Ovis aries: one gene and its partner. The protein of the gene in region 1 interacts with the protein of each later gene in a biochemical or structural test. Links are inferred from orthologs where the notes say so. Each region holds a gene or a part of one and is shown on either strand. Other genes may lie near its edges.

Evidence for each region.
Region 2: the proteins of PTPN6 (region 1) and PECAM1 form a complex in vitro, tested with the Homo sapiens proteins (2 studies listed by BioGRID, with this or other methods). The link is inferred for Ovis aries from reciprocal best matches to the Homo sapiens genes PTPN6 and PECAM1.

The regions. Positions count from the first base shown.
Region 1 is NC_056056.1:209,350,512-209,354,318, forward strand, and holds part of PTPN6 (tyrosine-protein phosphatase non-receptor type 6), read right to left. Parts: intron 3,675-3,807; coding exon 3,480-3,674; intron 1,044-3,479; coding exon 854-1,043; intron 705-853; coding exon 588-704; intron 503-587; coding exon 389-502; intron 240-388; coding exon 143-239; intron 1-142. UniProt on the Homo sapiens protein: Tyrosine phosphatase enzyme that plays important roles in controlling immune signaling pathways and fundamental physiological processes such as hematopoiesis.
Region 2 is NC_056064.1:48,348,509-48,353,080, forward strand, and holds the start of PECAM1 (platelet endothelial cell adhesion molecule), read right to left. Parts: upstream 3,060-4,572; 5' UTR 3,031-3,059; coding exon of another isoform or gene 2,943-3,030; 5' UTR 2,909-2,942; exon of another isoform or gene 2,830-2,908; intron 1-2,829. Other genes in the region: MILR1 (allergin-1), read left to right, coding at 2,943-3,030. UniProt on the Homo sapiens protein: Cell adhesion molecule which is required for leukocyte transendothelial migration (TEM) under most inflammatory conditions.

The DNA of each region.
Region 1 (3,807 bases):
GCCCTTGTGGGTGGGGTCCCTCACAGAAGCTGGGGAAGGGGACCGTCTGCGATGGGGGGAGGTCAGCTAGGGGAGAGGAGCCTCCTGGGCGGTGGGCGCTGCCTGAGCTGGGGGCGGGCTGGAGGCTGCCCAGGGTGCTCACACGGAAGGATGTTCTTGTAACGGTTCTTGCTCTTGTTTTCTGGCCGCTGCCCTTCCAGCCGCTGGTGCAAGTTTTTCACCTCCTGCTTCTGCAGACTCTGTGGGAGGAGTCGGGGAAATGGAGCCTCAGGCCCGGGAGCAGGGCATCCGTGGGTGGAGAGGTCATAGGGCAGATGAGGATGGGGAGTGAGGGGGCAGGGTCTGTCTGGGACCCCAAGCCCTTCACCCTGCTGGTCCCATCACAAACCTCAAACTCCTCCCAGAAGCCGGCCTTGGCTGTCTCTTCTGACTCCTGCTTCTTGTTCAGTTCCAAGACCCGGTTCTCAATGTCAGCCGCGTTCACCCTCGTGGCGTAGTATGGCTGGGGTGGGGGAGGCCAGAAGTCAGCCGCTTCTAGAGCTCAGAGGCTCAGGGAATGGGAGGAGGCAGCCAGGCCCACCCCTCACCTGCCGCAGGTAGACGAAAGCGCCGGAGGCCTCCTCGATCCCCGTCCTCTTGAAATGCTCCACCAGGTCAGTGAGGCTGTCGAAGGTCTCCGAACCCCCCACTGTGTAGCGTCCACCCTGAGGGGCACCAAGTCAGGCCACCTCAGTCTCCCTGCCTGGATCCCCCAGCCTCAGACCAAAGCCCAGGCTGCCCCTCCCCACGGGCAAGGCTGTGGGCACAGAGGGGACCCCCAGCGGGGTGCCTCCCTTGTGCCCAGAGGCCTTACCTCACACATGACTTTGATATGGGTGACTCTGAGCGGGGAGCCAGGGCCAGCCTTGGGCTGGTCGCTGAGCACGGACAGCACAAAATCTCCAGGCTGGCTGAGGCTCTCACGCACAAGGAATGTCCAAGGCTCCCCCTTGGCCTGCAGCAAAGTCTCTGCCTGCCCTCCAGACATGTGGCCATGGTACCACCTAGGGAAGACGGCATCCGGGGAGGTGAGACTGAGGCCGGGGGCGGGCGCTGGGCAGATGCTCAGGGAGGGGGCAGGGAACTTGGGCCCCTGCCATGTGCTGAACTGAGCTGTGCTACACGCTCTCAAATCCGCCACTATGAGTAGGTCCGTCACCCTCACAGAAACCTGAGAGGTAGGTACTACCCATTCTGCAGATGAGGAGACTGAGGCTGGGTGGTGGAACACTGGCCCAAGCCCTGGCTAATAAGTGGCAAGCCTCAGGACTTCTAAGCAAGCCCACCTCCGCAAGTTTAAGACACAGGCAGAAAGGCAGCCACATCCAGAATGTTCAGAGGGGAGAAACCCAGGAAGGGTCTCCATGAAAGACAGGGCTAGGCAAGGGAAGCAGAAATGCAGATGGAGGCCAAACCACAGACAGCAATGGGGTTGGGAGAGACGGAAGTCACAAGCGAGGGGAGAAGTCCCCCTGGGGGTTGGGGTCGGGAAGGTGGACAAGCCCGCAGGGTGAATAGTGGTTTGGGGGCTTTGGGGTGCCCCAGGTGATGTCACTGAAGGGGCTGCTGGGGTTGGGTGTTGGGGGGGAGGCTCAAGGGGCTCAGAGGGGCAGAAAGCAGAACTAGGACCTTTCCCCAAAACACACCCCCTTCCCAGGAGGAAACTGTAGCCCCGCAATGCCCAGCCCCACAGGAAACCACGTGATGGAAAAAACACAAAACTCCTTCTGGGGAGAGAGTGAGAAGTGAGGTTGTGAGGTTTCCTCAGCCCAGGGACAGGAGAAGGGGGGCATTTTCCAACCGCAGGAATGGGGGGAAGGAGGGAGGGGGCCAGTCTGTCCCACCCCATCGTACTGCAGCCCGGAGGAGACTACAGCTCGGAGACTTCCAGAGTCCCCAGCCCAGTGCAGGACCCCTGGGCCACCATATCCCACCACTCAGGGATAGGCCAGGGCCCCCAAGCAGTGGGGAGGGGGCTAACCCTCTTCCCCCAGGCCCCACAGGATGAGGAAGTCTCCATGCAAATGTCAGGCTGACCACAGGCAAAGAGCTAGCCATTGAGGGGACAAATGCAAATTCTCCCCAGAGGAGGAGGGGGAGCTGCCAAGGCCAAGAACCAGAGCAAACCAGAGCAGAGGCTGGGAGAAAGAGCCTTCCCCACAGGCTCCCAGGGTCAAGGGTGAATCCAGACCTCCTGGTGTGGGGAACCAAAAGCCTCTCTTGAAGTCAGCTGCCCTGGTCTTGAGTCCCTCTGACCCTGACCTCTTCCAGCCACAATTTGAACCCTGACCCCAGGCCCCAGGGGGTCCTCTCAGCTCCATCCCTCTTGCAGCTCCATCCTCAACCACCCCTGCAGCAATCCTTTGGCAGCAATCAGTAGGCCGGACCCTGGCTGTGGACAAGGAGGAGGCCAGGTCATGAAGAGCCCAAAAGGATCTGGGCAGAAAATCCCCATGAATGTGGCAGGGGGGTGCAGGAAGAGGGTGAGAGGCAGTGAACACCAGGGAAGGACAGACACGAGCAAGGGCATCTAAGTGCTTCCCTCCTGGGGGAGGCGGCTTCACCAGAAATGGACCCTGGATGCATGTTCATGGGAAAAAGGGTCTCCAGGGGTGGGTCTGGGGCCTGTACCCCAGCCTCATCCAGTTCTCAGTCTCAACCAGTGACTTGAACAAAATACGGATGCAAGATGGGAGGCATGCATCTCAGAAAGACTGAAAGCTGAAAGAATCCAGGTTCAGAATCATTTCGACAAGGACAAGTTGGCTTGGCCCTAGGAGTGTGCCAAAAAAAGCCCCCATAACAACCCAGAGTTGTTCAGCTGCCCTTCCCCTAATTATAGGAGCTATCATGGAGACACAGCTGGAAAATGAGACACCCCCCAACCCGTCCATAAAAGGCAGAGTCTTTGGGTCTGCCCATACTTTGGGGAGACCACCTGGGGAGTAGCCAGCCCAGTTCTGGGGACCATATCTTTGAAACAAGAAAGATGGGCGGGAAATGCTTAGAGTATTGATGTGGGTCTGGTCAAGGGACTAGTCCAGCACTAGCCGACCCCAGAGGGCAGACCCATTATCAGGGGACACTGAGATGAGCCTATGTGTCCTCATACATGCTGACCCCTACGCTCCTCCTCAACCATAGGAATCCGTGCTGGGGAGAGAACAGTTACAAGAGGTCAGATTCTGTCCCAGCAAGAAGAGCTTTCTAACAACAGAGCCAGCCATTTGGGAGAGACAGCCACGAGGAGAGGCCTCTCTGGCACTGGTAAGGCCTGGAGCACGGGTGGACAGGGACCCTGGAGAAGGGCCAGGCAACCTTCTCTTGCTTCCTAGGGGTTGATGGAAAGGGGGCCCTCAGATCACACGGAGGGAAGAGGCCCAAGGTAGGAAGGACAGCCCACTTCTTGGTGGGGCGGGCCAGGGAGTGAAGACCCTCACCTCTCACTGGTGGGGTCTGAGCAGTTCAGCGGGTACTTGAGGTGGATGATGGTGCCGTCTCGGTCCTGTAGAACACCCTGCTGCTGCGTGTAGTACTCCACCAGCTCCGTCAGCGTCGCGAACTTCTCCCCTCCATACAGATCGTAGAAGTCCCCAGAGTTCTGGATTCGAATATGAGTCACCTGGTCCCCGACCCTGCAGGGCACCCGGTGGTGGTAAGGCCAGTGGAAGGGAGAGTGGAGGTCGGGTGAGGGTAGGGGGTGGGTGGGGGCCCTGGCCAGGGTTGGGGTGGATACACCCAGGGGCCTGGGGAAGCGAAACGAGCAGC
Region 2 (4,572 bases), on another chromosome or scaffold:
CTAAACATCAACAAAATTTTGGATTATCAGAATAATTTTATTAAAGATTTGCTCAAAAATTTATATCACTCGAGTAGTTTTATAGCATAACAGTTTATTTAGAGATAAACTAAGGGTAGTGGAATACATTTTAAAATATTTGATCCATGCTTTGAGTCATATATTTATATTATCCTACTGGTTGTGGCATAATTTTAATAATACCTCGGCATACTTCATACTGTTACTACTACTGCTAAGTCGCTTCAGTCATGTCCGACTCTGTGCGACCCTACAGACGGCAGCCCACCAGGCTCCCCCATCCCTGGGATTCTCCAGGCAAGAATACCAGAGTGGGTTGCCATTTCCTTCTCCAATGCATGAAAGTGAAAAGTGAAAGTGAAGTCGCTCAGTCATGTCTGACTCCCAACGACCCCATGGACTGAAGCCCACCAGGCTCCTCCATCCATGGGGTTTTCCAGGCAAGAGTACTGGAGTGGGGTGCCATTGCCTTCTCCATAGAGGTTTCTTAAGGAGTAAATGAGATGATCAGTATAAAGCTCTTAGACAACAGAGAAGCCTAACTTTACTGTTTGTTTGACTATATTTATTTTTTTAATGAGTACAATCTTATCTATTTGGCTGTGTCAGGTCTTAGTTACAGCACTCAGCCTCTCTGACTGTGGCACTCGAGCTCAGAAGTTGCAACGCATCGGCTTAGTAGCCCCGTAGGATGTGGGATCTCAATTCCCAGATCAGAGATGGAAATCTCGTCCCCTGCATTGCAAGGCAGATTCTTAACCATTGGAACACCAGGGAAGTCCCTGGGTTATATTTATTTTTATCAAGTTTATTGATATGATGAATTTCGGTGGACCATGATAGTGCAGCTTCGTCATGATTTGGGCTCTATGCAACGTGTCAGGTCCATGGATGAACTTTTTTCTTTTTCCACTTGAGACTTTATATCTGATTTGTTATGTAATCTTTGATAAACTATGATCCTTTGAGGGGGGCCTCGATAAGGTACTCCCAGTAACGTTTACTAACAGCCCTAAGAAGAACTTCCTCCAGTTTCCTTTGCTGTCTTTGCTGCGGTCTGCAGGCTTCCTGCCCGAGCTGAAAGTTCCACATGCAGAAATGCCCCAGACATGTCAGCTTTTCTGAAAGAGCCCCCATCCTTCTGGGCATGACAGTTCTCAGGCCAGGATGGATAAGACACTGGTGGGAAACGTCAAAACCAAAACCTCTGATTCCCCTTAGCAGAAATTCTCGCATTGAGAGTTATGCCACCAGAGATTAAACTGGTGGGGTGCTTTTCCACACTCTCCTTTAGTGAGAGAAATTGCCACCAATATTGCCATATGAAGTCACTGAGTGCTGTCTTTGTTGGAAGGGTGGGTGCCTAAGAAGTAACTTTTACTGTTGGAAGGAAATAAAGTCCTTTTACAAACGGAGGACTAACTTTGCATTTTTCTTTTACAAACTGAGGACTAAGATGATTTGCTTCCAGACAGTGGCAGCAGATAGGGAGGAAGTGGGGGTGACGGCAGCCAAGCCCTGGGCTCTGTTCAGACCCCCAGTGGTGTGGGGCTAGGCACGACTGACCACAACAGGCTGGGAACCTGGGGAGCCCAAGCAAGGAGCCCCTGGAGCGAGTTAATACTGGTGATTGGGTGATGTTTCGGAAGAACCTGCACCCAGGCAGGGGTGTGTCTTCCCCATGGAGAGGGCACCTATCCACGAGAACGAAGAGACCGTCAGGGTCAACCCTTCAGGCAACAAAAGCCAGTAACCTGGGAATTCCCTGGCGGTCCAGTGGTTAGGACTCTGCACGTGCACTGCAGAGGATGCAGGTTCGTTCTCTGCTCAGGGAACTAAGATCCCACAAGTTGCGCAGCTTAGCCAAAAAAAAAAAAACAAAAAAACACACACACACAAATAAGAAAAGAAAAAAAGAACCAGTAACCCAAGGGGCCCAGGCCAATCACAGCCCCAACCACTCAGGAACCCCTCACCCCCTTCCCACTCTCCACTTCATGCTGATGACAACAGAACATGCATCCACTTGGCAGAGTCAGGAGAATTCTGGATTGGGTGCAAGTGAATCACAAGCCACTTCGGGGCTGTAATCTAGACACGCTGAGGCTGCTGGGGCCCTGGAGAAAATCCAGAGTCCCAGGTTTCATCCCCAGGAAGCCTGGAGCAGGGCCTAGAAGCCAGCGTTTAACACAGTCAGGCATTTCTGCTGCCACGTTTCTGTGTCTCTCTCTAGACAGTCAAGGTTGCTCCCCAAGACTAAAACAAACTTTCCACTAACTTCCTTCTGACCCAGGCTGAATCCAAAAGGAGATGATCACGTAGGTTTGCATAAAGACAGTGTTGTTGTTTAGTTGCTAAGTAATGTCCGATCCTTTTGTGACCCCCATGGACTATATAGCCTGCCAGGCTACTCTGTCCCTGGATTTTCCAGGCAAGAATACTGTAGTGGGTTGCCATTTCCTTCTCCAGGCGATCTTTCCCACCCAGAGATCAAACCCGGGTCTCCTGCATTGGCAGGTGGGTTCTTTACCGATGAGCCACCAGGGAAGCCCATAGTAGCAACATTTTTTCTTTTACTCACAGTCCACTTCCCTGCCAGCCTGAATTAGAAGTAACCTGCCATATCCCTCTCTGCCTACAAGTGCTCACAGAGGAGCACAGGGTCACACCAACCAGTCATCCCACATCAGGCTAGTCCACACAACTCCAATTTCTTTAAATTCGTCGAAAAAGAGGAAGTTCTCTCTGTGATTCGCTGGTGGGAGGCAGGGAGGCCATCAAGACTCCTTTGCCCTCCTCCCCGATTTCATTCAAGAGAATGTGGGGCTATTTAAACAAGCTGTTCTTTGGGGCATTTTTCTTTCTGTCACATCCGAGGCTCACTTACCATTTTGAAGCTTGAATCTCCAAACCAAAACGTCATGTGGAAAAATAGTTTTCTTGTGTTCCTTTTCTCTCTTTCAGTTCAAAAGGCTGCACTGGATTGTGAAAGACTGAGAAAACCAAATGGTAAGTTTCATTTACTTCTCTGTTGTATTAAAGCCACTTTCACCGAAACGGTGAGACCGTCAGCTTCAGTCATGCGCTGTCGCGAGCAGGGTTTTCTGTGCTTTTTGTTGAGCAGCCAAAGAGGAGAGTTTTTCCACTTTGTACTGTTTAAAATGAAGTGATATTAGGGAGGGAGTCAGAGAATCTTTCCTGAAACTAAGAAACAAAATGTTGAGATTGTTTTTTAAAAAAAAACAATGAAACGGTTCTTTCTTTTTCTGTTGTTTTTTAATTAGAAAATCAATACACTATCGTTGTAAAATAATTCAGGCGACACTAAAAACATATCCTGGGAGACAGTTTATCATCATAGAGCCAGGTTGTTGTGGTCCTAACCTTGTTTCTACCCTTTTCCACCTGGTAGTCTGGGCGCATGACGAAAACCACTTTAAGCTTAATTTCTATCCTCTGTGAAGCGGGGGAAATAAAGGCACCTCCCTGGGAGTGCTGTTGTGAAGACTGAGACAAGCCCTGTCCCTCAGCACAGAGCCGAGTGCATGGGGGAGCCATCAGTAAATGCCAGCCCAGGTCGTTGTTGTTATTATACTGTAAATGGTGAATGTTCTGCTATAAACAGATCCCCTCAGTCCCTCTCCCATCTCTGTGTCCAGGAGCAAACACTAGTAACAGTCCTTTTCGCTCCAATATCAAAGCAAACAAACTCTTCTGTGGCCTGTTCTTTTTAAAATTAACACGTCCCAGACATCTTTCTAAGAGGAAGTTGTAGGTTTCGCTCCCTTCTTCTCAACAGTTGCATGGCATTTCACAATAGGACTTAGTCATAATTCATCGAACCATCATTCCCGTATTGGTTGTTCCATTTTATTCCTTATAGAAACAATACTGCCGTAAACATCCTCTGTGGACACATGAGCGTGTGAGAGTTCACGTAGGATAAAATCCTAGAAGTGAAATGGCTGGGTCGAAGGCCATGTCCGTTTGAATTGTTACAGCTGATGCTAAGTTGCCCTCCTAACACACTGAACTGGTGCATGTTCACCAACGCTGATCACGGACATGGGTTGAGTGTGAGTTTCTCACCCTCTCTCTGGCAGTGGATACAATCAATTTTTTAAATTTGTGTCAGTCTCATGAGTACAGAAATAATATCTGAATGTTGTTTGAGTCCGCGGTTGCCTCATCACTCATAAAGCTGTGCTTCTTTCTCATGTTTGTTGACTATGGAAGCCCTAGCATGCCCATATAAAGGACATTTAGGGATGGCAATCTGGCTGGAAAGAGAGGTGAGGTCTTATCTTGAATCTGAGCTTACATAAGACTGAGAAAATATTAATTGTCCAGATCAAAGTGTAGATTGCTGGCGTTTTTGAGGGGTCTAAACCCCTCCTCCACCCAAGCCATCCCTGGAACACTGTTTCTTTTTTTTTTTTTAAACACTACTTCTTCTCCTGGGAATTACCTATTCATATTATTTGACCATTTTTTGATTGTCTTTTCCTTATTAATTTGCTATTGGTTTATGTATATTAGGGCTTCCCTGGT